Lepisosteus oculatus: one gene and its partners. The protein of the gene in region 1 interacts with the protein of each later gene in a biochemical or structural test. Links are inferred from orthologs where the notes say so. Each region holds a gene or a part of one and is shown on either strand. Other genes may lie near its edges.

Region 1 (9,697 bases):
AAATGATGAACAAAGAAGACAAAAACATCTAAATGGATCCATGAATGAGCAATTTAAGTTATAGAATAACTAATTACTCAAGTAGGTTAATCTATCCTCATATTTGTACAAAACAGATAGGGACATACCAGAAGCAAGAACAGACAGAAGAACACTAATGGCGGGCGTCGTAGCTGATGACAATGAAGCTATTGCTTCTGGTGTGGCTCAGATGTTATTAATTAAAGCTACAGATTGTCTTAGTGCTTCTTAGAGTTTGGGTTGATTTCTTTCCTTTATCTTGGAGTGCAGCAGAAAACGAGACAGCTTGTTGTTACATTTTCGCAGCCAATCACATTGTGCCATTTAGACGGACCACCTACATTGGGTCATAATTCACCTCTCACATACACATTAAATGTTATCACACTCTCCATTTTACCTCTCACAAACACACACAAAACGCTCTCACATTCAACAGTTTTGTCTCTCACGCTCACATTGTGAAGGAGTGTTTTATATATATGTGCGAGGTAAAACTAGCTTTAAACCGAGGAAGCAGTTATCTGTTCATGGATACACATATTTGTCCGATAATAAAGAATGAGCATTGCTATATATTTTATTTTCTCCCTGGCATATCTGTAAAGATTTTTGAACGGTACTGTACACTTGGGGAGGTTTTTACATGAGCTGGCCTTGCTATACAAAATCTTTTACGGAGGAACTGGAGTTAGAGTGGCCTATGTTGAGAAAAAGCATTAGTGCACCCTAAGCTAATAAATCCCTTCATATAGCCCTGATACTACATTAGAAATTCAGGCTTTGTAAGTATCAGACCATGTCATTGGTATTTGTCACGACCACCAGCCTGCCCAGACCAGCCCCCAAGAGAGCTAACCAGTGTCAGCAGCAGGGCGATACTTACAAGTGCCGCTGCACGTGTTAACTCAGTACCGGAAGCCCTACCGTGCGGCCAGCTGCAGTATTTTAGCCATTCAGACCCACTTCTTGCTGCTCCGTATTGAGTCTACTCTTTGAGAGCTCTACCTGGCATTTATTCTGTACCTCACACTCTTCTGGATTCTGGACTTCCCTTTTGCCTTTTGACTTTGGACCTCGCCTCTCGTTTTGGATTGTTTGCCACTATTTGTACTTCTTGGATTTCGAACCACCTTTCTCCTTTTGACCACGAACTCGCCTGACATACCGGATTGTTCGCCTGCCTCGACACCTACCTACTCCTGCAATCCCAGTGCAGGAGTAATCCACATATCTCTTCACTGGGAATTCCCTACAGTATTTGGATTAATAATAGGGCCTAGTTTATTACACAGTTTATACTGTAATGTCTGTGCTTTCACTTGTTATACATCACCTTGAAATAGCCATCTGTTAGCAACTCTGTCTCATCATCTCCTGTACTGTCAGAGCCTTTACTGCAGATTACTGCTTAGAAGAGAGGGATTCAGAAGCAGTCAGTTTGATTAAGCATAAACATGGTAACACACTTTGGACACCCAACCAGAGCTACTGATCAGAACAATAATCATAAGGTTAGACGTCTTTTAATGCTCTGAATTAAAACATTCAAATATAAAGAGATTATATATGATAAAATGCAAATTTAACTTAACTATTTAACTATCTAATAAAATGCAAAATTTCAAATTGTATTAAATGTAGGTTAAAAGGAGTGCAGACTAGATGTAAACTTGAAAAGAACAGATTTTGTCTGGAAGGATTTTAGCCTACTGTAAGGAGAAAACATAAGACATAAAGGTTGAACCAGAACAAACAGCCTTTGGTGATTCAAGTACATGTCAATTGTTTTACCTTCAATTTGCTTAGGTAAAATACATTGTGGAACAAATGCCAGGTCTCAAGTAATGTACAATTATCCAATAGTTCTCAAAAAGTTGATTCAGTGGGATATTTTGGGGGGAGTGAAAAAAAAGATTGTTTTTGAATGTCTGAATTACTACTAAGAACAAACAAGGCCCTTATAATATTGATTTAATTATATTTAATATAATTAGATAAACACAAAATTATTGAGTGAAGCACATTATCCAGCTCTCTACATTAATCTTATATGGGCAGACTTGCTGATTTTGCAAACCTTGAAATATTCTTAGACACAATAAAACAGGGAGAAGATTCCCTAAGTGAATCAATGCTAAATATGCGCCTATTAGACACTGGGCCATTTTTCAATTACAGCTGCATGTCAATTTTCCTTGCGAATTGTCTGAGTCTTTTAAGATGTACTTATCAAGAAAAAATATCAATGTTAAGAGAATGGTCAAGTATTTTTTCCTTGCATACATAGACTTCAGTTGAAAAGGTAGTTGGAGAACAATTATAAACATCCAGTGAAAGTCATATCTGTTTTGAAACGTTGAAATGTGATTGTTATTAATTTAGTTAATTTTGAAATCTTTTGCCTCTCTACCCAAAGTCATTTAAGGAGTGCAGAATATTTGTATAAGAAGTATGTATAAGATAGCAGTCAAAGGAGAGCATCTACTTCCACGATGGACTGATGAGCAGACAGATTGATGGGCAGCTACAGTGGCAGGATGAGAGCTTGAATTTGAAATTCAAAACGTAGTTAGCTAGTTATCTGGCTCGGCTGGGAAATGGATAAAGGGCTGGTCTGTTTCAAACTTCAATACTGGATACTCTGGATGGGATCAGGTTGGATTGTTTACTGGTCCTGTGGTATGCCAACACTGGCCAATGTATTCATTTTACCAGTGTAATGACTGTCATGTGTACAAATTTAATTTAGTGCTATCTAGGAGGCAGAAGTGCTCATCTGGAGCTTGTCATAGAAAATATTGTTAATATGCATGTATTCTGTAAAAACAGGCAGATAATGTGTTTAATGCTGTATTGAAATATTATTTTGTAGTTTTGAAGGATAACCTGTAGTTATAGCTTTTGTTCATTGCATTAGACTGTAGGTTTTGTCATTTCTGATTACTTATCTTGTAACAATCATAACTCTATCTAGTAACAGTTTGTGCAAAGACTCTACAAACATCACAGTTGGAAAGCACTGCCTGCACTAAAACCTCATTGATCCTTTTGAACTTTATTGTTTGAGTTGCAAGCAAAATAATTTAAATAAAATCAGATGAGATCATTCACAGATGAAGAATTCAAGAATAATGTCAATAGGAATAATCTTTTTGCCTTTCAGTGTTTCAGTCAATAATTACAGCCCACATTAATTATCAAGCTAGTCCAAACAAGCTTTTTTGTTGCTTCAAGGAACAACATTCATAATCCCAAACAAGTTACAAAAACTTTGAAAGTGCCAGTAAGAATTTTGTCATCAATAAGGAATGGCTTGTTTTCAGATTTCATATTTTATTTTCTTTAAAGTTTCTTTGGAATACGGTGTGTGTATGTGTGCGCACCTTTTTTTTCCAATACATTTTTGGCTAAATTGGACCACATTAGCAGCTCCACAGCTGAAAGGTTGTGTTTCTTTTCATCTCTTTTCTGAATGAAATAAACCTTTATCTGTTCCTTTTCAGCCTACACATGCGGACACAGCTACCTACTGTATTTGCTACTCTTGGTTTCCTGTACATGAACAAGTTCTAATTTCAAAGTCATGCATAACCTTGAATGCCTTCTGTCTGTTTCATACTGGGAAAAACACAATCTTGTAACAATTGCATTTAAAAAAGAGTGGTTTTGCCAAGGAAATATGTGTAGAGGTGTTTTTTAATACCTTTCCATTATGTAAATCACATACAGTAGTTCCACTTGTTGGGCTGTACAGAACTGCAGCTGACTTGACGTTGCCTGAATTCTCAGTATGAGCCTTCAAAATGCTGATGATGGCATATTTTTGGACATTTTACCGTTTTTTCTTATGATTCACAACTATACTGTGTATCATCAATACTCTTCATCCCTTGCCTCCGTACAGTTCCTTCTCAGATTTGTGCTCTTTGGATCTTTATCCTCCTTGCTGGAGACTTAGTGGGTATTGCCATTCTTGGGAACCATTTCAGAATGTCTGCAGTCCAATACCAACACATAATACATTAAAGTTCATACTATGTACAGTATACACAAATGCTTATTCATCATGACCTGTATGTAATAAATACAATAAGCCTCTGAAGACGCAAGGGCGCAGCTAGGTCAAGGGATTGTGTATTATTCACATGTGCAGATTTTCTAAAGTCTCGCTAGGTGTCAGGGCAGCCATTTAAAATGTGCCTATCACTCTGCTGAATTACTGCGGTACAATGTCTGGAGCCAAATGAATCGGCGTATTCCCAGAAAACACATTGTCTTCACCTTTCGGCAACCACGATCCCACAATTACCACGGTTAACAACAGGTGCTCTTTATTATCGTTGTGTGGGTGGAAAATAAAAGCTCGCTTTACAAGTTTCTTATCGGCAAACGACGAACAAATCTCTGTACCCTGAAGGTTATACAGTAGAATACAGCTTGTCCCTTAAAGTGAAGCATTTAGTCATATATACTGTATATACACATTGTTATTTATACATACATTATACATATTTAAATTAGACAAATTTAGAATTTTGATAATAGATAGCGCGACAGAACTCTTTTAGTAACCTAAAGGGGTTGAATTACATATAATGCAGATACTATTTGTGTAAATACGATCTATTACATGTAATCATATCAAATATAGACTATTATGAAGAATGTGTGAGGTGTGTTTATGCTGCGGTAAATCCGTGAGGAGAACATCGTGACTTCGTGCTAGGAAAATGGGAAATTCCCATTTGGTGACATTACGTGACAAAAACACGGAATTACACTGCAGGCGAAAGTTTTGACAGACACGACTAGGTGTCTTGTGACGCTGGAGACAGGGTTTTATTGCGTTTCTGCCTCCTTGAACTCTGAGCATTATCCTGTAATTTCTCAATTCTTTATGCAATGTATTTCCTGTATAAATAATAATTTATACAGAAGCGATGCTGGTCCAGTGTAATTGCTGCGGATATACAGTATTAGTGTTTTCAACGGCTGTTTGCTGCTGATTGTTTTTTAACAGGTGATATTGCCACTAACACACATTTAGAAACCTCGAAGCGTACTTCACTTTTTTTGCGCTAAATACAGACACTATGCTTGCGTGTACATGTTTAGTTTCAAAATTGTAAAGATAAAAGCAAAATATTTGGAATCACTTCAAGCATTTTACAGTAGGCATTTTGGCGTATTTCTGATTTCTGAGATTCTCTCAGAATCTCATATTTGCGTCAAATATCACGTCACATTCACAGCTATTGGAATACACTACGTGAGTGAGTGCCTATGTGTGTGTGTGTGAAACAACGCGGCACATTGACTCTCATCCGATATTTGGTAATGCTGGATTTAGTGACTGGCAATAGGTATTGTTAAACATTTTCTATAGCATTATTTTGGTATCCATACATTTCCTACCTCACATTTTATAGGTACAGTACAAATCATATCTTTAATCAGACTGTAAATTAAACACACTTGGAAGCTTTTACCGCTTGCTTGTTCTGAGGTACAGTATATCACTGCAGCCTCATCAGGTAATATGAAGGTGTGCCTTTGATTAAATTCAAACATTTTTTTTAATCTGATTTTCTCGAATGTCAATCTCCTTTCGAAATTTATATTCCGGTGTAGGTTGTCTCACCATGTTTTAATATAATGGTATTCTAAATGATTAACATGTTTCATGCCATGCAAAGCCAGTCTCCAGTTTTGTCTATATAGGATTTATTTTGTTCTGTTCTAGCAATAACCTTTTGCTCCTGGAAAATCGCAGCGAAAATCATTTCTGATATCAGGCTCGTAATTACAACGAGCGGCTGTTGTAGGTTTATCGCGTGTGGTAATTATCGATATACGACTGCTGGTACTCGGTACCTCCTTGCCTTGTCCTCATCACGCACTTACTCGCTCTTTCACTACAGCACCACACGCTCGCTTCAGCCTGCGTGGATCATCTCTGCCTGTTTTTTTTTTTCCTCCAGCCCTGCAGCAGAAACGGAGCAGCAGCAGCAGCAGCAGCAACAGCATCATTTTTTCTGTGGTGTTTTGCACCACTGCGATCAACCAGCCAACCCAAATCTCCTTGGAGAGTGAAGACACCGAACGAAAAGGAGAGAGGGGGGAAGGAAACCTTGGCACACTTTAAAGCCTTTACATTTAATATTGTATGACTCTCTTACTGCGGAGAGAGAAAAGACAATTCGATCACAACCTCACCTCTTACCGAAAGGATTATCTCATGGTTTTTCGCCTTTGTTTCTGACAAGATCGCCGACAGGTTTATAAGGAAGGATCATTTAACCAAATCTGGAAAGGGCAACGAGGGATCCACTATGATCTCCTCTTGGAAGTGGCGTGTAATGGCTCGTTTGGGATTTTGTTGGATTTTGCTGGGGCTTTGGAGGTTTAGCGCCGCTTGTCCTGCAGTTTGTACATGCAGCACCTCAAGAATTTCATGTACCAGTATCGATCAAGAATGGGGAATCAAGGCTTTCCCTGTATTAAACACCGATATAGAAATGGAAAACATTACTGAAATGTGAGTATCATCCACATGAGAGATGGATACGTTCAGGATTGGAATAATGTGTCCAGTTGTACTACAAAAATCATAACGAAACGAAAATGAAAAAAAAACATTAAGACGAAACGCGTTGCAATGTGCGGTGAGCAAAGCCAGAATTAAGTTTCATTCAAGCAGCATCGTGCAAGGTTGACTTATCGGCTCATCTGTTACAGCGGGCTAGTGTTAAAGAAAATAAAATCACTGGAGGACATGTGTGGAAAGGATGAGCAGAAAGATTGAAGGAATGTATCAAAAGGAAGCTCCGGCAGATTGTTTTCAGAGTGCTTTTAAAATAAACTTGTAAAGTGGCCAATTCTGTTCACACAAATACACTGGAAGTAAATGGATTACTGTATATGTTAGGTTTATGTAGATCTTAAAGGATTGTCAGTGGTAAATGCGATGTACACTGTACTGTACTGTATGAGCCATTAAAGGGCAGCATCAGTTGAACTACACGCTTATATGTATGTTCAAACAGTGGCCGTGGTATAATTATTTAACTAAAATGGACCCAATACCCGACACTAGACAACGTGTGTGGAACAAGAAACACGTATTTGCGAAAACGACTTTCAATAGGATGTATGTCATTTTTTCATTGGAAAGGTGCTGAAATGTGGAACGGCTTAGGCTGCTGCTGCTATCAGCCAGTTTTGCATTCCCGTAATAAGAGGATTGATAGACTGTAAAGGAACGCAACCCTAGCAAAATCCGAGCAAAGACGCGGCATATTAGAATCACTCCCTACAGCAAACGAATTTAGTTCTTGGCTCACCTTTAGTTTTAGATACGATAAATTGACTTTTTATTGGTCAGCTAGGTTATGCAGAAGCATAGCTATTATACATCAGCTGTGGTGTGAAATTATAAGACTGTTATTCTTCCTTTTTTATAACTATCTTATTATTGAAAAGATAGACTGCTGAGATAAAAAAGGCCCTAAACATAAATGTGGCCATTGAAATTTAAAGGAAGCAGAGTCGTATAATTCGCTACACATTAATCCGCGAAGTGTCTTTTTTGCTAAAGACTTAACATCAAGCCCCTTAGGTACCTGAAACTATTTTTTTCTTATTTGTTGTACAAGGTAGATTTCTTTCAAACAGACGATAGAGCGCATTTAGTGTAGCCTTATTTTATACTAGTTATTTAGGTTCTTAGACTGTATAATTTGCTGCGATATAAAGTCTTCAAACACTGTGATATAACTATGGGGAAACCACCAGTGCATCAAGAAAAGCGTTAATTGACACACAACTGTTAGATCGATCCAACTTTGAATTTAAGAGACTAGATCAATTAATCGATAAAAAAAAATTCACCTCGCCAGCTGTTTTCATCAAAATATTTTAAGGCCTTTACTAAGGCATACAAAATGACTAAAGCATGTAGCCCACTTTATAGAGGCGTTTTACAGAAGCGATTATATAAGGAATTGCTAAAAAGCAATAACTGGACTTAACATAAATTAATTGATAAAATATCTTAAAGGGCCCTCTTTTTTATAAAAGCACAACACACAATGAGCAAAGGGATTCTTTAATAGTTTTTGGAAATGACAAAAATATTCAAGAATGGTTAGTGAACATGTAAGGCCATTATTTTAAGTTATGCACATTATATTATTAACTGTGTAAAAGGCAAATTAATTTTTTGTAACATTATTTTAATGTCTTTTAACAGATACATTGCAAATCAAAGTAATTTACATGCCATCACCGATAATGATGTGAAGTTCTATAAGAGCCTCAGGAATTTGTAAGTATCAGATATTAAAAACAGCAATGATAATACTTATGACAACAGTCGACAACAACAATAATCATTTTGTTTTCATTGTCAACAGAACTGTGACAAACTCGGGATTGACTTATATATCCCGTTTGGCCTTTCAGAACAATGTGAAGCTACAATATCTGTAAGTAATGGTTTTGTAAGTTGTAAGTTGAGTACTTTCATTTCAGTTTATGGATAAATGAAAAAAAAAACTTAATGTTATATACACATTTTTAATTATTTTAATAAATTACTAACATCTAGTGTACAACATGAAAACCTAGTTTTCTTTTTCAGTCATGTACACATACTTTGGTGTTCATTTGGATTTCAAGTGATTAATTTTAAAATGTCTTGACAAAGGGGAGTGTGCTAAAAATATTGTATTTTTCTTTTTGCCACAAAATGATTCAGACATTTTACATTGCAGCAGGTTCTTTATATCTACAGTATATCTCAGTGACAGTGTTCAGATGTATTGTGATTTTATAACCGGTCAAGAACTATAAATACAATTCTGTGTGCAGCACAATTTGAAACTGAGCATGGTGTCTTCTCAAATAAGAGCCAAATCCTAGCGTTGGCTGATGTACTAATAGGCCTTGTCTGCTAGGTTTACTCACTGCGTGTTTTGTGCTATGAAGGTGTTTATTTGTGGATTGATTGAATTGCAGGAATCTAAAAGACAACAGGCTGTCATCATTGTCTTGGAGGACCTTCCGGCATTTAAACTTGACAAGTTTGTAAGTATTTGTGATAAAGCAAAATATCTGTCTATGGGATTGTTTGATAAAATATGCATGCTTTTACCTTAGGAAAGGCTGATATGAATCCTTTTTGTGTGACACAAGCAAAAATATGTTTTTTTGTAAATTCAAGATAATTGAATAAAATACAGAATAAAGTAGTTTTACCCAGTAAAAATAAACTTTGCCACGGATTTCCTTTATTTTCTTGTCTTTTTAGAACTGTCTATCAAAATAGCACTTTAATGTGAAAACCCTGCCATTTAGTATCCTTTCAGGCAATCCTTTGCAGTGCTCATGTGGTAACTTGTGGATCAAGCTATGGCTGGGAGATGAAACAGAGAGCCAAGAGATAGTGTGCTGGGATGACAAAAATAGAAATAAGCCACTCTCCAAACTGTCTCTTCCAGAGTGCGGTAATTTCAATTTTACTATTATTAAAATTAACCCCCGAATAAAATGCACATGATTTATTTAACCATGCAATTTGGTGTACTATATATAAAAACATGTATTTTCATTAAAAAAAAAAACTGTTGAAGGGCTTGTTGTGAAATAACAAGTGGTGGGATGATAGTTCAAT
Region 2 (10,231 bases), on another chromosome or scaffold:
AATTTCTAGCAAAAGTGTCATGTTAACTCTGTTGTCAAAAGACGGAGGTGGAATCTGGGCGTTTGCTGAGCAAACAACAATATATTATGATTCTTCCTTCAGTACATTACAAGCTAAAGGCATCTTTAGCTCTGCGTCTTAAAATATCCGGAAAGTGTGGTTCCTTCGTTGTTGAGAAACCGAGGGGGATTAAACGGGGTTAAAATATTTGAACTATTTCACCGGAGATATTTTTCTCAGAGGCACACCTTGTCCTTTGCAGTGAAATGCACACAGCACTTCCCCATGGGTTTGCCTTGTAGAGGAATGAACTGTGTAAAGTTTCCTAACTCTCTGCTTTGACACAAAAGAATTCAAGCGCCCCTGAAATGCACACATTGTATCTATACAGAGTTCCTGGCAAAGAATCTCAAACAAAATTAAAATGCAATCTCAACTGCAATGAGCTTCAGCAGAGTATCAGCGGACAGGAGCAACACCAATCATACTTTTTCACCAAAGAAAAGTGTGTGAAATGTCAGGCTTTCGGTCGCTTACGGAAATTTCAAAGGCTCACGTAAAAAAAAAGCCCTGCAGATTTTGATTTCAAAGACTTTTTCGTCGAGCTATCAGAAGGGTCATCGACAGTCTGTCAAAACGGTGCCTGTGGCCACAATCACATCAGGACTACTGTGTTCCTCACTCCCTTCGCATTCACCTCCTTCGCTAGGTGGCCGCTGTCAGGCTAAAAGATTTCTGCTCCAAACAATTCAAGAGAAATACCTTTAAATAAGTTCCAACGCCTCCGCCCCTGACCCCTGTAGCTAAACAGATAGCGCTCTAGCAGGACTGAGAGTTCAAATTAGTTACCTCTTCCACAATGACCCGAGGCAAAAAGGTGTTGTTTTTGGAAAGTAAAATTCTCAAGAAAGTCCTCGCGAAGCCCTTATGTCCACTTCAGACACCAACAAACTCAACTCAACTCACAGGGATCAGGCCGCCACCAGGGACTGTGGCTAATCAGCTTAAAGGCATTGTCTGAAACATCAACAATAACAAAAAATGCCCTTTGGATTTCTGGGAAGAGTGCACCTTTGGGTTTGCAACTTAAAGCAGCACTGATTTAGCCAAAAAGCAAATATCCTAAAAGGGCTGTGGTCTGCAAGTCTTTGCTAATATTATAGTTGCATCTCCTCCCCCAGAGCATGACCATGCACTGGGTGAACACAGAACGTACACTTCGCATTCCCCCCCCCATTACACATAAATAAGCTGTACTTAACCTTACCTAATCCCTTAAAGGAAGGGTCATAGGGTCATCGGGCACAAGGGTTAGGCTTTTAGAAAACCTGAAAATGTAATTCCCACTTTGATATCCCAGCACATCCTAATCCCCCGTCCTTCCCTGCAGGTTCTCTAAAGGTGCACTTTAACAGGCCGCTGCCAATTTGCAAATGATAAGAAAGACAATACTATGAAGAGGGCTGTGCCAGCTTCAGCAGCACCTGTGTGCCAGCAAGTAGTGCCAGCAAGCAACACAGCTTATACCACAAGACTTCTTCTGTATTTGTGATGTGGCGACTGGATTTTTTTCAAATGAAGCCAAATGAACGGCAATGAATTAAAGAAGTTCTGAAGCTGCCTCTTTTACTCTGTCCTGTCATATGAATGATATGAGTAAATGAAAAGGCATGCCTGTGCTTTTTTTTTTTGGTGCACCCAGTACAGCATGTACATTCTTTTTAAAAAGAATCCCCTTAAAACCTAGAGCTTACTCATCCACCTCTGCCAAATCGAGAGAAGGCTTCACACTCGAAACATTTCACAGCTCACGGTTTGCAAATAATTCTGGAGACTTACTGAAACAGGTTGTCTGCACAAGAACATCAGGTCTTAGCAAACCAAGCTGTTTTCCGCTACTTTTTAAGCAGTTCTGGGAGTTGTTTGCTCCAATTCCCATCAATTAGACACATTTATATTTTGATAGCGGTGGAATTCTGCTACACGAAAGGATTTGCTTTCTTGTATTAAGACCTGTTTTTAAATGACATGGTGAGCACAGTGATTCAGTCTCAGCAGAAAAACAATGCTACTCTCCGCAAGCACACTTGAATGGTAACATGTACAGTATAAGATTACAAGCAGAGCCGTCTGATGAATTACCCACTAAGTTCCTATGGGAACAGGACTGTAAATTCATCCTTTCCAAACACAGCCAAATTCCTAAATCACAAACTGAGGAGAGTGCAGATGAGATTCCCAGAAACGTTTTGAACTAGTGGGCTCTGGTGCAACATTTTCTTTTCCACTTAAAGAGCTCAGCTTGACGTTTTGGATAAACAGCAAATTCTCCTAAAAAAGAAAGAGAGAAAATAACTTCTACAACCCAGCCAGCCTGGATTCTCTGCAAGGTGTTTTTTATTTAATTCCAAGGACACAGTCCTGTTTCAGCGGTTTCACCAAACCTTATTTAATGCGCAATAGAGGCATGATAGGGATTAGCTGGTTAATTGGCGGAACTGTAGGGACAAAGCTGACAGACCCCTCTTTTTGGCAAGGAAAGCGCAAGGGGACTGCTGTAAGGGTGAGGATGGGGTGCGAGAGAAGATCGGAGAGTGGGCACTCTGGAGGTGAGGTCCTTGCATGCAGGGAAGCTGAGGTGGGTGAGACTGGGGTCTGACCTTCTACAGAACGTCCATTTAGAACTCCACATGCAAGAGTCATCAGGCTTCAGCAACTCCCCATCAACACCTGGGGATATGGTTATAGGCCAGTTTTCATGACTAGATCCCTCCTTGATCAAATTCGGGCCACTAACACATTCACCCTAGTGATTTTTCCTGCTCTTCCAATGTTTTAAACTGGAACCACACATATTCTATATACAAGCCATTCACTGTGCTTTACTACATTATACCATGTTTCCGTGAGCGACATTTTACAGCACTTCAGGCCAGGAGTTCTCTATCTTTAACCCGCTGCTAGAGAAAACAAACTACTTAAGTTGTCCATCTACTTCCTCACTGAAATAAAAACCCACAGAAAGTCAAATATGTCCCAGTGTAACTTAAGCACATCTTTTAATACATGAATTCTTTTCTTTTTCTTAACGACTATCACAGGGCACAGCATTAGAGGGAAAGAAAGGCTGTGCCTGACAGTTTAACAAGGCTGCAAATGTCACGCACAAGACACTCCACAGAAATGGAGGCCGTGTAACTCATTAGAATCCAATTGCTAGTTACTCCTCTGAGCTTTCTTCTTGCCGGGTGACTGACGCTCTTTTTTTATTTGGCTATTTCCTGTTTCAGTAAAGAAAATCAATAGGACTTGTCCTCAAAACTCTGATCCAGTTAAACCACAATCACATCCATGAACCACTGCAGTACTCTGGGGCTGCCTGTGATAATTCCAATTCGGGGGAAAAAAAAATACCCCAATACAAATACCTTTTCCTTAAATTTGTGAAATACAATTTCACCTGCAGCTGGGGTTCGGACGTCTGATTACGGCGGCTGACTTACAATTTTCTATACCTAGAGAAGGTCAATTTGGCGATTGTAAAAAGAATTACAGTATCAAAAAACGGTCATAAATTAGATTTAACACACCATGAATATTTGGGGAATCTATTTGTTTCAGTGAAGCTAATCCCCATTTAAAGAAAACGAAAAGCCCAACATTGCTTTATTTATACTCTATCTCCCAGAGCTAATGATTGCACAATTACACTGAGAAAGAAATGAAGGACAATCATTGAAGACACACAACCATTACCGTTTAATGAGACAATAATGAACTGCTCCTGCAACACTGGAATGACACCTTTTGAAATGAGGAGAGTGCAGAACAAGCCCACACACATTAACAGGCCTTGAGATATTACCTGGGTCACTTCAAATCTCCACGTCGGCTCGGTCTTGCAAAAGAACTTCTGCCTTTTTTTACCACTTGCGGTGCGTAGCTCAGCTTCCATTCCAGGGGTGGCACATTTCATCATTTATTTTTAAACATTACGCTGTCCAGAAAGGAGAAAGACTGGGAGACACCCGGCAGTCTCGGTGTCCTCTATTATAATCTTATTTGCCTATTTAAATTGCTGTGCTCTCTGCTGGTGAGTCTAGTTTCTCTCATTACTCTACAGGGGTGACATTCAGCTAAATTCAGCTCTGGTGCTAAGTACTCTTTTCCCACACGCTCCTTCATTTCCGTCTCTGTGCAGAAGGATGAGCCAGAAAGTCACCTCTTCACTTCGCTGGTTTTCTCCTCTTGCTTGGTGCCTGCTTGCAAGTCCCATGAAGGCGATGAGCAGGGATTAGGGGCCAGAGCAAGAAAAACAGAATCTGACTGTCATTTCAGAATGTGACCTGCTGACAAGTTGTGGGCTTTACATATAGGCTGGGGTCCGTCCTCTTCATGCCTGCTAGAGGGACTAGAAGAGAGACTGGCACTGCTAGATTAACAGATGAAAGGTAATTGCGCTATCATCTCTTCTTTTCAAGGGGGCTGCACTGTTTCCTTAAAGGATATATAGTGTCCTTTTAATCCCGAAAAAAGAGATTACAGTAAAGCCCTATTGGACCAATACAGGATTGCTTCCTTAACATAAAGCATATGGCAAAATGTTTCAATGACTTTTTTAACAAACACAATTGAATCCCTGCTCTGTGCCACTTCCATTTGCAGCACAATAATAATTGTTTCTACTTTAACAGCGTATCCAACAATGTGAATTATTGCTCCGGTTACCTAGTGTATAGTGCCTCCCTCTCTCAGAATTCAATGTTCTTGTCCACTGGTTTGTGTTTTAGTTTTCTTCCAAAGGTTATCTTGAAGTTAACTGATATGACAATCCAGACATGGCTTACATTAACCTCATTGAGATGTAAACCCTTCCTTGAAAACACTACAGTATAAAAAACACACAAATGCATGTTCATTGTCACTTCTTTCCAAAGAATGCACTTTCCTAAGAAGTTCTGCATTGCATAACCATCACAATCTTTCTCACTTCACTGAGATTGTACAAAAAAACAAATCAAATCTTCCTGGACAGAGAAGGACTGTTCTGTTTATTTTTTTTTTGGCTCTCTTAAGTTTATTTTTGTTCATCACTTCCAAAGTCATTGTAGTGACAGTCTTGATAATATCAGCAACAGTAAACTCCTAAGATTTTTTTTTTCAGTGACCCTAAGCTTTCTTGTTATCTGTGGAAAGGTGACTTCCAGAACCAGACTTGATGACTTCCTGGAAATGTCTACATTCCTGCAGATAGAAAATTAAGAATTCTGGAAGGTCCAAAAATCGGATCGTGCGTGCTACAATTAGGCTACTTGGTGTTTCCTGGAAAAATCAGGGACAAGCACCATAGTTCTAATGGAATGACGTTCTTTCTAAGAAAAACGTTCTTCAAGGAAAACTGAATGAGGCAACTCCATTCAAACTCATCATAGCTTGTTTATTGAATGCTACAAGAAACTGAATTGCGTTAAACAGTCAGGAGTGGATTCTGCAATAAAAGTAAATAATGTAAACAACCTTTCTCGACAGTTATTTAATGGAGTTTATAATGAAAGTTCGGGAGGTATTCCAACAGCCAAGTTCAATCAGCCTCAGCTGTCAGTAATTTGTAATCAATCCTAATGTCATTTCCTTTCCTAAAACACTATAAATACTGTATGTGACCCCCTTCTCTCCTTCTCTCACACACAAGGTCTCCTGCCTCCCTCTTCCCCCCCATCTCCCCCTCTGCAGCTGCCCCTGGGTCACCCCTCACTCTGTATGGGGGTCCCAGCCTCCTCATTCTCTGGCCAGGAGGTCAGCCCTCACCCACACAGGTTCAGCCGAAACTTTATTGTGACTAAACCTTAATAAACTCCATAAACCTTTCAATACGCTTGATTCTTGGGTAAGTGTTGTTATTTCTGTTGGAAGTTACTATGATACCGTCCTACTGTGCTGTAATGAAAGATGCAAAAATATGCAGAGATTTTAATCATGCTTAGAGTGCAATTTTCCTATTGGCTGCTAAGGCTAGCTCTGCAGGTCATGTGTAAAACTAATAAAAGAATCAACAGATGATGACACTGCCACTTGTTTTTTAAATTAGGGCTAGTGTTGATTTAGACTGGGTAAACGTTGTTTTGCTTTGTGCTTTCAAAAAACAGGTGTACGTTATTTCTCCATTTTTTGCTGTCAATGAGTGTGCATATGCATGCAGACAGATTTTTAATGTGCTGTTTGGGGCATCGCAGTTTCATATCCTTTGTGTGCAACACGATTTTCATATTTGACTCATGAGACCAGTGCGGTCAGCGAGTGTCAGGCAAAAGACACGGCACCACTAACACAAACACACTATGGTCTAAGTGGAGGGGGACTGAGCTCATAGCTCCCTTGGCTCCCTGCTCTTCTGTGGATTCATGTGGAATCAGACTTTCACAGTAAAGCAGGAATTCAAGTCTTTGCATGAAAAACTCTACGAAGGTCAATTAATACTTGCAAAAAAGAGAGAGAGACGTTTGGAAGCCTGCATTTAACTATAAGTGAAAAGCCCTTCTGTCCGACAAGTAACATTAAATAATCTTCTACCACTATCCTATTTATTCAATTCATGTATTTTTTTTAAGGACAAAAATATGTAGCAGCACTCGCCGAATGTCAATTCCTATAATTAACTAACCTGAAGTCATAGTTCTCTTCCTCTAGCTGGCCTGCTTAGCCATTCGCCTGTTTTCTACCACTTAATCCACAGCTCCAGAGCTGATTAACCAACCAGCATGTTTTTGGACTAAAAGGGGACATTGCAGCACCAGGAGAAAACCCACGTGAACACAGGGAGAACATGCAGACTCCACACAGACAGTCCCCTGGTTCCAGAATTGAACCAAGAGGACCGCGGTGTTGCTAGGCAGCAGTGCTAACCACTGGGTTACCCTTGCCTGCTTATCTGTCTATTAACCAGTATCCACTACTGCAGCGCTATAAAAACAATACTTGGGAAGTGTGCCAGAACCCTCGTGGGTCAGGAACGCGTTTCGCCAATAATCTGCAGGAAATGTATTTTGTATCTGCCGGGCCGTATAGAAACTCAGGAATTTGTAGTATATAGACCTTTAAATACCTGTAACTCGACGTATTTAAAAAAAAAACATCATGTTGGGCGAAAACAACCTTGCAGACGAGCCTTCTCTCCTGGTGCCAGAATAATAATAAAACATTCCCAATTTAAATGTTGTCCGATTACCATAATTGGGTCGGGTAGTACCGTGACGTACAGTAGCCAAAAAAAAACCGCTATTAGATTCCAGTGCGTTTCAGCAGGTTACCAGGTCGATTGGTGAATTAGATTCTAGTCACAACTCAATAACAAAAAAAAAAGATCAAATGCAATCTTTCCCTTCCCGTTCTGTACTGATCCAGAGAGATGTCATCTAATTAACCCTCGGATGCATGGTCTAGGTCTAACCTTCATTGTTCTCGAACTTCCAGGGCCGACTAGAGCTTTTATATATAGATGGATTCGAGCTGGAGTTTCCTCGCGGCTGTTGTGTATTGTGTGCCAGGAGCAGAGAAGTCGAAAGAATGTTCCGGCATCCGAAAGCCTCACAGCAATGCACCCTGCCCCTACGTCACAGCCCAGGTTTACGTGGTAAACCATACCTTGTGAAGGTACACATTTGTCTTGTAAATACTTCAGTAGCGAACGTCTCACGTCAGGGCCACACGACTAGATACCCTTTCTCCCAACGAGGCACAGACCCCGTGCTCCTGAGCTCACTCTGAGCGGCAGCGCTTTCAAAAGCACGCCTCGGCCCTCACCTGTTGGAGTGACCAATGAGCCATCTCTGCCCAATCAATAACCATGCGCACAAAAGGGATTTCGAACGACTTCAAAGATTTGCTTCGAGTGGTCAGAAATCCTCTTGATCACCTAACAAGTAAACGTTCTAACCTTGGTCACGAAACGGCCCCATGTGTACGAATTGCAAATATTTACAGAAAACGTGCTTTCTTTCCCGGTGCATTCTTAAAGGGGCAGGAAAGAGCCGGAGAAACCTGTCACTGCTACAATTCCATCCCCCCCGAAACACGTCCCAAAATGATTTCGCCTTCGGTCGTTTAGTGTAAACCCACAACTGAATCATCGTTTTAAAACGCTTCGGGTCCTCCAGAAGCAAAATCGTTATGTTGTTTTTTTTTTTTCCGGAAGGCTTCGCTACACTGGGAGTGTTAAGTACACGTCTGACAAATTAATGCGCATATACAGTACGTTTTGAGCCTCTCGGCTTCACTCTTTATCTCAGTGATTGATCGGGGGCAGAACTTCAATATTTAAATAGATTCAGTTTCATTCGTTTGGACGTGAAAAAAGCGGCAGATAATTACACAGTCTCTTTAAAAAATTCATGTACCGGGATAAAATTACACTCGCAGAGTCAGCTAATAGGCTATATTTAATTAATAGAGAAATGAGGGGGTTTCTCCTGAAACACCAACAATTCCTAGTGACGTGACGCAGAATCAGCCCTTAAGGCTGTTGGCCTTATTCACTCGGGAGACGACGAATCTCCAACCAGTTTACTTCGCTCTGGGCAACGTACGTAAATCCGTCAAGTGTACATTTATTCCAGCAATTCCATGAACGCCTGACAACAGATATGATTTAGTATTTGTTTAAAAAAATACACTTGTTTCAAATCTTCGGAAAATTCTGACACCTCTTTTGCAAACATCTATACTGCACTGAAACGAGTTAATTGAAACACGCCGGACAATTAAAGCTGCGGAAACCAATTAGCGGCATCTCGCGCTCTCGGCTTATTAACTGATGTTCTTCGCTGTCTTGGATGTAAGCGCTCAGCGCAAGGCGTCAGCCGGTTGCCATGGCGATTGTGCATCCACTTCAGGGATGACTGACGTGTCCAACCAGATGCCGATGACTCCAATAGTGTAGTTTTGACTCCAATAGTTTGCGCTCTGTAATTTACAAAGAAGCTGGACGCCAAACCGAGAGACTCATGTTGTTTTGCCGGACACTGGAGTAAAAGTGTTTGATTATCAATTACTCACCCGGGGGGTTTACGAATATAAGTTAATTGTTTCAGACTCCTGTGCCAGACAAAGAAAATAAGACTCTTCCTCGTCCAACAGAGAGTCTCGGAACCGTGTAATGACATTTTGACAAGAGCGTCCCCTCCGTCACTAGCTTGGGACCGCGGTGCCGGCGGGACCAGCCTGCGCTGTGTCTGTATGAGCGAATGAAAGGTTAAAAGCAATATGATAAAACGCGCAAAATCCTTTTTAGTGACCGTAGACGTAGCGAATACTTGCTTGTTCCGTGAAAAAGAAAACAACTCAGCTCAGCGAGCAGCAGAGGTGAGCGCAGGTGCTAAGAAAGCCTATTTCATGGACAGAGTGAGGGGTCGCCGTTAGTGGCCTTTCATTTTCTAGCCACCCAGTTAATTAAGCCCGACCCTTTTCTGTACAGCCCCAGAAGCGGACAACAAGCAAGGGTTTCTGGAGAACCTGCTCACCTCGGGGTTTTGTCGCACCCAAGACGGCAGCTCGTTAATTAAGTTAGTCTGTATCTGCATCTGAGATCAGCCCAGGCCATAACACTGTGACTTAATTGCGCATATTAAACGTGGATCGAAGGCTGTTCCTGTAGAGCGCAGGGCTGAGGGCGTTCTCTGTCCGAGCCAGCTGTCCGAGCTCCGAGCCGGAGGACAACCGGCGCATATCGCGGTTCTCCTAAAATCGTTACCGGGGGACCTTGTGCGCATCGTCATTTTCCAAGCGCCAACTCGGGAATCCGGAGAGCTGCAGCCCTATGACCGTTAGAGAAACCGAAAAGCCCAATTAACGTGGAACTGATCATCAGTTTCGCTTCGGGATCAATAAAGTCTTATCTTATCTTCTCTCTTCTGAATATACCGATCTGTCCGGATATTTCTGTTGTACCTGCCCGCGCAGGTGACTCGTACCGAACAGTCACCGAATGCGATTCGGGGATGGACGAAGACTTTCACAGTGGGGCTGCCCAGGAACTTTCTTTTCGGAACAGGAGGAGAAGCGAGCTACAGTAAACCCGAACCCATTTACAACCCGTGACTTCCGAGCCCCGGTGGTACAGAAGGAACACGAAAAAAGTCAGAATTCTTCTGTCCACTCACAACCAAAAACAAACAAGCAAGCAAAAAGCTGTTTCCTGTAATGCATGTGGTCAACAAGACAATTCAGAAGCCTATCG
Region 3 (10,449 bases), on another chromosome or scaffold:
AAACTCCACAAATATAAAACCCCAGGTCCAGAATTTAACCCGGTACCCCAGACCTGCCAAGACAGCAATGCCAGCAGTAAAGGTTAATTCCACGCTGAAAAAAACAGAAAGGAGAAACGCTGTTTTGCTTTGTCTGAAATGTTGTGACTGCTCTCTATTTTTCAGCATGGAATTAACCTTAACTTGTTCCTTTGCAGCCAACACATGCTTCTGATGCTGCTGCCCACTCAAAAATGTTTTAAGCTCTGCGGGGATCTATTTATTCGCAGGTCAAAACACTACTGCATTGGACTGGAAAGATGAAGACAAGTAAAAAGATTGAAATTTCAGGTTTCTTCATTTCACAGTCTGAGAGCAAGCTTTGCTTCCTCATGATAAAGGCATTAAAATATTAGCCAGTGCTATCTGAGACGAAGTTTACTTGGCCAGATGAGTTGAGGATTTTTTCTTACAATGAGCAGTGTATAGTGCTAGTAAAAAGGACACAGAATAGGGCTTACAGACATCGTACCTGGATAAACCAGTTCCAGCCAGTACACCATTGAACGGGACACTAACATGAAAGATCAGTTTACCACCTCCGATGTCTGCTACTTTGCACTGCAGTTAATCAAATATACTGGTTAAGCAAACCTGCAACACCTCAGTTTTATTCAAAATTAATATATTAAAAAAAAACTCGAAGAACGTTTAATCTGCAGTTACCTCCTGCACACCTGAAGTCAAGACTGTCAATTCACTAAAAGAACATTACCTGAAATGACATGTATTTTTGAAATATGATGCTTTCTGAGGTAGTTATGAAAAACTACCTTAGTCTTATAAACGACATGTTGAAAAAGAAAGTATAAACTGTTATCCCTGTTGTAAATATTTACCCCACAATGTTTCATTATTTAAAAATATTCAGCATCTGGTGAGTTTTTTTACCCAAATTGTGTTGATGATAATCTAGAACCAAACAGGAATGTTTTATGTTAAAAAAAGTCTGTTTTGTTAACATTTTCTGTTGAGGGGAAAACTGTTAGTAAACACTTTAGGAGATTGTAACACATTGTGCTATTCTCTGCATGTTAACCACTGATACATCCATAAAAGTAACTCTAAGCAGCTGTGAGAACTTGTAAATGATCGTTAAGTTTCCTTCAGTTGACATCCTAAAGATTTCTAGCATTAAAATTATATACATTCACATAAAAAGATGAACATGTGGGTCAAATGCACAGAAGATTTTTAAACTCACAGGAAAGTTGAGTGAATACATTTCAGGTCCTTTTCTATTGAACATTGTTCCTGTGCTGGACTAACGCAGATTGCAATGCAAGCTCTCATTTCCCGCCTGACCTTTACAGTGAACAGTGGTCTGTGCTCCAGACAAAGCTGGGAGAGATTTCCAAAGGTGACAGCGAGGAATCTTGGACAGGGAAGAGAACTGAAAGCCTATTGATCTCAGATTACAGCCAAGATTTAGGGAAGCTACTGGCATTTCTCCCTTTCCCTTAGACCTGTCTAAATCCATCCATTTCCTAACCACTTCTTCCAATATAGAGTCGCTGGGGAGCTGGAGCCTATCCCAGCAAGCAACACTCTGAACAGGACGCCAATCCATCTGAGGGCACGCACAGACACAGACACGCACACTCACACCCAGAGGCCTGTTACCAGTATGTTTTAAGCTGTGGGAGGAAACCAGAAACGCGGAGAGAACATACAAACTCCACACAGATAGCACTCCAGGTCCAGACATGAACCCAGAGCTCCCCAACACTGCTAACCACTGTGCTGCCACTGTCCACAACCATTCAAGAACATGTCAGAATTGCAAGTTTGATAAACTGACACTCTGTGCCCTGACTGCCAACTAATGAGTCCTGTCTTGGGCTCTTTCAGGTGCGGGTATGCACTATATGTGAGCACAATACCCTTTTCACAAACAGACATAACACACCTGCACAAGGCAATAGCAGGAGTTAGATGGCAGAAAGGCAGTGGAAGTCATTCACGCATGTCTTGATGTTTTACATGACCGCAATGCTAAAAGGTTTACAGATACTGCTCAGCGTCTTCTATAGTACAGTCCTGTGTTGTAAACGCTGCTTGAAGAGGAGCACCAATGCGTCATACTTTGAGGTTTTATTTCACACCTCCGCTTTTGTTAGCTTGATAAGGAGCAGGTAAAAAAAAAAATTCAGAACTGTTCCCTTGAGTTAAAATGATACTAGGAGCCCAGATAACAGGTGACGAATAATGATACTACTTTTCACTTTGTTGTACTGATTATTAAATTTGTAGTAAAAAAAACAAAACACTTTTGGCTAGTGACTCAAGTCCCGAGTGATGAATAAAATATTTTGGGTTTGGGCTAATACTTGCTTAGCAATTAACAGTCATTAGCCATTTCCTCTTTTCCGCATATCACAGAACAGGCTCGCATCAGAACGACTGATTGCACAATAAACCGATCTACATTATCAACGACTTGCAAAGCCTTCGAACCGCAAAGGGAACTATGATGCTCCAAATACACATGGCAATTTTTACATTTGGAAGTGGGGATCCTCAGTCTTAAGTTAACGAGTTATTAATACCGATATCTTCTGCTAGGGCCCCGGCGTGCTGTATGTGTAGTACAATACAGTTTTATTTCCTGAAACTGCCGCTACCGTTAACGTTAAAAAGTAAGGTCGAAATCGTGTTTTGGGGTGCAAAGAAACAACACTCGGAATAATCTTAAAACATAACATTACCGAAACAGAAGACTAATATAGTTTTTTACATATAGGTTGCCGACACCTTTCTAGGTTTGAAAACTAAATTATCGGAGTTTGTTTTACCCCCCCGCAGTGGGCGACTTTAATTTACATATTAAATTACATTTCTCAGAAAAAAGACACCGTGTCGCGCTGCAGTAAATTAAATTCAGGGAGTTCATGTAGAGAGGGGGTTTTCCGGCCACATTACAAATACATGTGTTGTGTCAGCGCAGCTCATCACAGCGTGCCTTGTTCAGCGCATGTATAAATAATGCTCATTTCCAGGTGTGAAAAGACCACTTACAATCTGACACACGTGTGTGAAAGCCAAGAAGTCACGTACTGTAGCGAAAGCAGTGTACTTCGTGGGCATGTGGACATCTTCCACGAACTCGAGCACATTGGAAAACTAAAGAAAATCACTTTTAAGCAGAGGGGAAGGGATTAAGCATTTTATCCTTTTAAATCGCGCGTTCTCCGAATCGACTACACGTCCAGTGGCAAAATCAGCAAATATCAGCCCTTTTCGGCTATCCACGTTGTCGTGGCTTCCCAGTTATTTAAAGTCTCTTCGCCTCCGGACCAACGTAGCTGGGGATCACCGTGTTAGTTGGACCAGTTCGCTCCGGCTAACGCGGCACATCCGAGATTACTTTGAGCTCCAAGCCAGCGCCAAAACCCGGGATATCCCCTCCTTCTTTAATCTATCGCGGCAGATTAGCAACGAGCCTGCTCGAATTACTCCTGTCGCTGCCTTCTACACCCCTATCGCTACCTCGGTTTGCCCCAACACCTACCTGGTAAATGGCGCTCCAGCTCCCGGACTCATCGATTTCCCGAAACTCGGCTTCCACTGCCGTGCTCATACCGCCCTCTCTCCCAGCTCCCTCCCGGTAAAAAACGATTAAATTGACAGCCGATGCCTAACTAATTACAAACCCCGATCGCTCCTTTTTCTTGTCCAGCATATAGATTTAATGTATTCTTTTCAGTTGTTTCCTGGCCTGTTCTAACCGGAAACACGCCGCTTGCGCCTCCCCGCACCGAGACTGTCCCTCCGCATTCACGGGACACGCCCACACCGCCGCTACATGGCCAATCGTGTCGCAGGAAGCGCGGAACTGTGAGTGGGGGAGCCAATCAGCGTTTCCCGGAGGGGCGGGGTTCCCAGCGGGCCAAACAGGAGGCGAGGAGTGAGGGCTCTAGTTTTTCTGGGACTTGTAGTTTATATATTAGAAACAATACGGATTTGCAGCTATAATTAATACTGTTGTAGCTGTCAAGTTGGTGGAAACATAACAGAAACGAAGATGATACTCCTAGGCCCTTACCGACGATCTTTAAGGTCTTGATAATATTGCAGGACACCGACATATTATATACAGCACTCGCATACTTTGTTTTATTAAAACACGTTGAGTATATATAGATACGTAGCATAGCGTATAGCGTAGACACCAAATGCTGTTAAAGTTCTTCAAAAATAAAAAAGTTAAAAGGTAGCAATATTTGACTACTCGGCTAATCCGGCAGTTGTCAACTCGTGCCTAATTCTTTACCCATCGTCTTTAAAATGTCCAGAAAGAATATTAGCTTTTATTAGGTTTTAATTATTTTGTGACACTGGATGGGTGTTTTTACCAGTTTTAAAAACATCCGTGCAGCCCAGACCACGTGACTGACTCCGACCCGCTGTGAGGGTTGTAGTATGCTGGTATGCTACTGTAGTAGGTTGTAGTATAAATAATGCCGAACTTCAATTTTTTTTTACAAAATATGTTCTCCTAAAGTAAAAATAACACTTAAAACAATTTCAGTTTCATTTTAATTAAAGTTAGTCTTTATTCGCTTTATAATGCGACACTACTACTACTGTTTCTGATCCGCATCCGATCATTCTAAAATCAAATTAGCATCGGTCTTGTTGGACCTGTTGTTGAGAATAATATTTGTAAACGTCTAGATTAAATCCAGTTTCCCGTCCCTCATTCGCTCGCTTAATGTTTAATCCCTTTCGCAACGATTAGAAAAAAATGAAACTCGTAAAAACAAAAGGATATTGCCTTAAGCAAAAGGGATTTGTCATCTATTTCAAACGTCCTTTTTCATGTTGATTTATGTCCCCTGGAGCAAAATGAACAGGCTTTTATAGTGTGTAATAATAAGAAAAGGGAAAATACCTTTAAAGATTCTACAATGAGGGATCTCATTTGTCAAAACTAGTCTGGTCCAGGCAGTTTATAATGAATAATATATATCATGCAGGCTTGTGACTCTCAGGTATGGAAAGTCTGGGACTTGAGCAAAGGCAGTCGACCGAGAAGAGTGCAACCTTTAGCAAGATGACATGACCTCCTGCAGACCCTCCAGCTCGATTGATTGAGCTGGAACCAGCTCCTTAATTATTGTATTGACAATCGTCAGGATCACTCAAGTAATTAAGGAGCCTGATTGCATCAAGCCCCGATTTAGCAAAATAGAGAGCAAATCTGGGGCAGTGGGATCAACATAGCTGAAATACTACCCAAATGTCCTCACGTAGACTCAAGTAAAATGGCAAAGGGAACCTTTTTAGAATGACTGAGGTCAAGTGGACCTGAAACATGAAGTGTGTAGTTTTTTTTTTACTTTGACCAATGTAAAATAAAGTTGCTTTCAATACCTTCTTTGGACAGTGTCAGATATGATATTTCCTGTTTTAACTTACAAAGATGAAAATTGCAGAAGGTACTATCATTTTTTAAAAAGCCAAATTGTTCCAAACGCGCAGTAATTTATTGCACATCTCAAGATTACAACATAAAGTGGCATTTACTTTATTGTAGAGAAAAAAAACAATTAGCCATTACATTGATATAAAAGTAGTCTTCATTTTAAAATGCTTATTATTCTCTGCAAAGAAATGCAATTGGTTAAAATGAGTTGCTCGTCTGCATGTTTTTTTTTTAATGAGTACAGCTACACATGCTATAAAATATATTGGAAGCAAAAGTGTGACGGGCTTGTTGCTGATGCTACTGTGCACAAACACAAAGCTCAGGCACAGTGCCACTGGATAAGGACGACATGACCCCCAACCATAAGGAAGGTCATTTTAAGGGAATGCACAACAGGTTTTCAGCACAGAAATGTGATATTAAATAAGGTTATAAACTTAACTTGGTTATTCGAATAATTGTGCACTGTGGATTAGTGAATCAATTAAATCTGGTAAGCACTACCTTCAGAGGTGACTACCAATAGATGTGCAAGCCATCAAAGATGCAAATGGTTGGAAAAGCTGACATAGTGCCCTCTGGTGTTTTATACTATGAACACATTCGTTTGTATATCAAATTGTATCTGTTAACAATGCATAGTTAACATAGTACAGGTGTTCAAAAAGGCCACATAATTTAAAATCTGCACAGCTCCATTAGAAGTCAGTTTACGGACTATACTTGCTTTTCAGAACCGTATCTAATGCCACAGAAAGGAATTTGTACACAGTAGTAAACTCCCAGTGCAAAATGCCTGCTGCATGGCACCACAGAGATGGATATGAAGTTCCCTCTTATCTGTGGAGTACTTAGTAATCTATTGGGCTGAAAAGCATTGTTTATATGCAAGACATTCTTGTTGAAAGTATTACACGTTGTTGATAATATCTCACCCAAACACCAGTTCATTCCTGTTCACTGGGATAAGTCTCTTCCAGTAACCATTATTTCTCCAAGACAAAACATTGTACCATCATAGTTTCCTTTAGGAAACAAAGAGCAATAACGATATTGCAGCAGTGGCAAAATACATTGGTATATTAAATCACGATCTTAACATGATGTCAAGTTCAGTTTTAATTATCTGGAAAACAGGAAAAGTAATACAAATGTGCCTGCTTGACCAGAACCACGATAACTCTCTTTACTGTGTGGAAGACACACAAACTGCCAGACTTTTATTTGATTCCCATATCTATATAATAATACATTATTCATGTAGTAAATGATTTACTGAAAAATGTGGCATGATGGTGCAGTGGGTAGCATTGCTGTTTCACAGCACTGGGTTCAATGCCAGATCCAAAGTGCTATCTGAGTGGAGTTTGCTTGTTCTCTCTCCATTTGTGCAAGATTGCTTGACTGCTATGGTTTCCTCCCACAATCCAGCAACATGCTGGTGGGTTAACTGGCTCCTGTAAAATAGGCTGAACCTGGTGTGAGTGTGTGCATGTTTGTGTAGGCTCTGCAACATATTTGCGTTCTGTGGATAGGCTCTCAGGATAGTAATTGATGAAACACAGCGGTGCTTTATCAATTTTTCTTGAACTCTGCTTTATCCTTAGTTACTCCTTATGAGTTAACTAATTTTAGAGACGTGGTTCCAATACTTCCTCCTGCTGTTCCACAGTGCTGTTCATTGATATAAGCCTATCTAGTTCTGCCTGGACTGAGAAACGGCGCAGCTAGGCTTCAGCACAAGCCAGACGCTGTTGTATCCTGCTCTGCCTATCGCACTCTGTCCGAATTCAGCAAGTGGACACATAAGCTGCCCACGTGCTCAGTGAATTTAGGAGGGTCCCACCTTCGAACTGGAAGCCAACGTGCTGGGCTCCTGTAGATGACACTTGGGATTTTCGCCGTGCAGATAATTTGATCCGACAGCCAGCATGAAAAGAAAAAAGCCTAAGCCGAAAGGCAAAGCAAATTTCTTCCCCTTTTCCTTATGATATGTATTTCTGTCACCATTGCAATTTGGAGGGAATAGATTGCAGTAAAATTGGATGTAAATTCGTAGCCTGAAGACTCACCTAGCCTAGTTCATCAATTTCTTTCTCAGTTTTAGAAAAAGTGCCTGTCAAAAACACAACCTGTATTTAGAAAGACAAAGAATCTAATCCCATCTTTAAATTTATTGCTATAATGCGTGTTTTCTCTTAACAATATGACGGTCTTAGAGGTGTTACTGCTTGAGTTCTCTATGGGGCAGTACAGTGGTAGCACTTAGAGCCCTACATTTACTACAAGACAATGCATGACTGAACCTGTAAAGTATTTCAAGATACGTTACTGTAATTATGCTGGAAGCCTAGAATAAGGATGATTAACATATTTGAGGAAGACATGCCAAAAATAAATTTTTATGTAACTCTTAGAATACACTTTCTCTGTGGCCTGTGTAAGATTTTAAATGACCATGCATACAAAACCAATAAGACTTTGAGCTTAAATAAAAAAATATAGGACAACCACCTTTCTCGAAAACCGCCTTTATGAAAAAGGTGATTGTTTAAAAAAAGTCTTCCTCACAATTTCCACAGTTGTCAATGAGAATATCAAGACTTGCAATACATTAATAATCATGGCCCTATCTAACAGTGATTATAAAATACAGGATAATTTCTGCTAAACGTGCTCCAGAAAGTATAGAGGCATCTTGTTTGTGGATTTCTCCAGATGTGAATTAAAACAGATCAATGAAACACCCACCTCTCACACACACATGTACATACAGATTCAAACGAGGATCTTAAAATGTATTGGAAAACAGTAAAAATTTCCTCTCCAGTTATTTAAGGGAAACCCAAATCCTATAGATTAACTAAGAAAGCACATTAGGTAGGATAGTTGAGTCAATCCTGCAGAAAATCTTAAAAGGAGTTTTTTAAACATATTTTGACATGGGTATCAGTGGAGGGATTGCTCTCAGATGCCTATGTATCTATAATAAAGTTGGGCCAGAAGACTCAAAAGGTCTGGCTGAAGGCCTTTGTTATGAGAGAGAATAAAGACTCCAAGGCATGAGGGCACTGCTTGCCAGGAAATAACACCTATTTTAAGAACCTGATTTACAGCGAGAGGCTTGAAAAGCTCTCACGATAAAATATAAAGAGAAAGAACCCTTCAGAAAATAGATGTACAACCATTATGATATTCTGATTCATCAACATCTGTCAAAAAATAATTTAGTGAACCTTTTCTCAAGACATACTGAATAACAGATTATTGTCCTGAAAGATCAGGGTGATGAGGTTAAGAGGGAGAAGACCTATTTTAGTTGAAAACCATAAGTAGCAGGCTTCCTAACATTTCTACCATCAGCTTTCTGGTCTAACACTGCTCAAAATTATTTCCTGAATGTTTATTCAAAAGGTCTCATTTACCCTTGGTCTGTGTTGTATTAAAGAATCTATAATCATTCTCAGACATTAAAATGACAAGTTGTCCGATGAGACCTGGTCATCTTCCCCCACAATTTAATTGTCTTTCACATCTTAGGAGACCTTTCAGAGTTTAGCCCTTCAGCATGTGTTTGTTTTGAGATCTGGATATCCATCCATCCATTTTCTAACTACTTCTCCAATTCAGGGTCATGGGTCCTAACCCAGCAAGCAATGGGTAGGGTACACCCTGGCCAGGACGACAGTCCATCGCAGGACAGACACAGTCACAAACACTCACACCAGGGCCAGTTTTCCCAGAAGCCAATTCATCTACTTGTATGTCTTTGGACTGTGGGAGGAAACCCATACAAACGTGGGAAGAACATACAAACTCCACACAGATACCACCCAGGTCCAGAATTGTGCCACTGTGCCACCTACATCTATATATTCTTAGCTGATGTTAAATGTGATTATGAGATTTAAAAGGTACTATACAAGTAATTGCAGTGTTTTTCAGCCTATGACTTTGGTGATCTCTTTGGGGATCTGTCACGCAAGAATAATGCATAACAAAGAAAAGAATAATGAAACATAAAATGTTAATGAAACATAAAATTCCCATATATGTGTTTTCCCAAAGAGTTGCTTATCAGCCACTCAGTACACAGTACCCAGATGAGATGTTAGTTTTAGGGGCTCAAAACAGCAGTTAGAATTCTGATAATAACCTTCAACCATTTCACATTAAAGTATGAAAAGTATTTTAATTCATTTGCCAGGGAGCCGAGAATGAGGGCACAACAATTGATTGATACAATGGAAACAGAGTCGACATTAACAATTAAAAGTGTCTTGAAAACAAAAATCATTACATACATAACTTCCTGCCTTATTCATTCAAGCTAATGGGATCCGTTCATGCTCTTACCTGCCCACAGACAAGCCTTTCAGAAAGAGGCTTAGCTGCATAGAACACTGAATCCAAAACTCTTAAGAAGGAAAATCTGAGCAGCTCTTCTTTAGGCAAAACGTATTCCTGATAGGCATTTGCTACAAAGATGACAATTTAACAGGCCACTGTGTCTAAGTGATGCATTACAGCTGCAGACATAAGTACATGTACTGTACAGGAGCCCTGTATCTTGAATCTCACCCATAAGAATGAGTCTTCTATACGAGGTCTTACTGATAAAAAGAAAGAGATACACGTTTAGAACTGATGAACATACAAAAAGGAAGTGAATAACCTGGGCTCTTATGACTGCCACTCCATGTGTAGAAGTTTTATGTCGCAGTGTGTGAGGGGTCAGAGACTTATGCAATGGCTTTGTATGGCACATGTGTTAATGAGACAGACTCCTGCTGAAACGCCAGCTCCCCTCCTCTCCCCAGGCAGCACTCCACATAAAACCTGCACGAAGAGTGTAAATACGGCATTAGAACAAACAGGCTCAAGAGTAGGTTTGCTGCCCTATTTACAGTATTTGCAAAATACAGATTTGCAACTGTAAAAGTCACCCCCCCCCCTCAAAAAATGGAAAGCTTTAATTC

Evidence for each region.
Region 2: the proteins of ntrk2a (region 1) and bdnf form a complex in vitro, tested with the Homo sapiens proteins (3 studies listed by BioGRID). The link is inferred for Lepisosteus oculatus from reciprocal best matches to the Homo sapiens genes NTRK2 and BDNF.
Region 3: the proteins of ntrk2a (region 1) and ptpn1 form a complex in vitro, tested with the Homo sapiens proteins (2 studies listed by BioGRID, with this or other methods). The link is inferred for Lepisosteus oculatus from reciprocal best matches to the Homo sapiens genes NTRK2 and PTPN1.

The regions. Positions count from the first base shown.
Region 1 is NC_090698.1:61,694,600-61,704,296, forward strand, and holds the start of ntrk2a (BDNF/NT-3 growth factors receptor), read left to right. Parts: upstream 1-4,983; 5' UTR 4,984-5,044; intron 5,045-5,294; exon of another isoform or gene 5,295-5,387; intron 5,388-5,874; exon of another isoform or gene 5,875-6,005; 5' UTR 6,006-6,356; coding exon 6,357-6,562; intron 6,563-8,275; coding exon 8,276-8,350; intron 8,351-8,438; coding exon 8,439-8,510; intron 8,511-9,042; coding exon 9,043-9,111; intron 9,112-9,381; coding exon 9,382-9,530; intron 9,531-9,697. UniProt on the Homo sapiens protein: Receptor tyrosine kinase involved in the development and the maturation of the central and the peripheral nervous systems through regulation of neuron survival, proliferation, migration, differentiation, and synapse formation and plasticity.
Region 2 is NC_090716.1:3,155,729-3,165,959, forward strand, and holds the start of bdnf (brain-derived neurotrophic factor), read right to left. Parts: upstream 4,544-10,231; 5' UTR 3,980-4,543; coding exon 3,866-3,979; intron 1-3,865. UniProt on the Homo sapiens protein: Important signaling molecule that activates signaling cascades downstream of NTRK2. During development, promotes the survival and differentiation of selected neuronal populations of the peripheral and central nervous systems.
Region 3 is NC_090711.1:12,092,488-12,102,936, reverse strand, and holds the start of ptpn1 (tyrosine-protein phosphatase non-receptor type 1), read right to left. Parts: upstream 3,815-10,449; 5' UTR 3,620-3,814; coding exon 3,551-3,619; intron 1-3,550. UniProt on the Homo sapiens protein: Tyrosine-protein phosphatase which acts as a regulator of endoplasmic reticulum unfolded protein response. Mediates dephosphorylation of EIF2AK3/PERK; inactivating the protein kinase activity of EIF2AK3/PERK.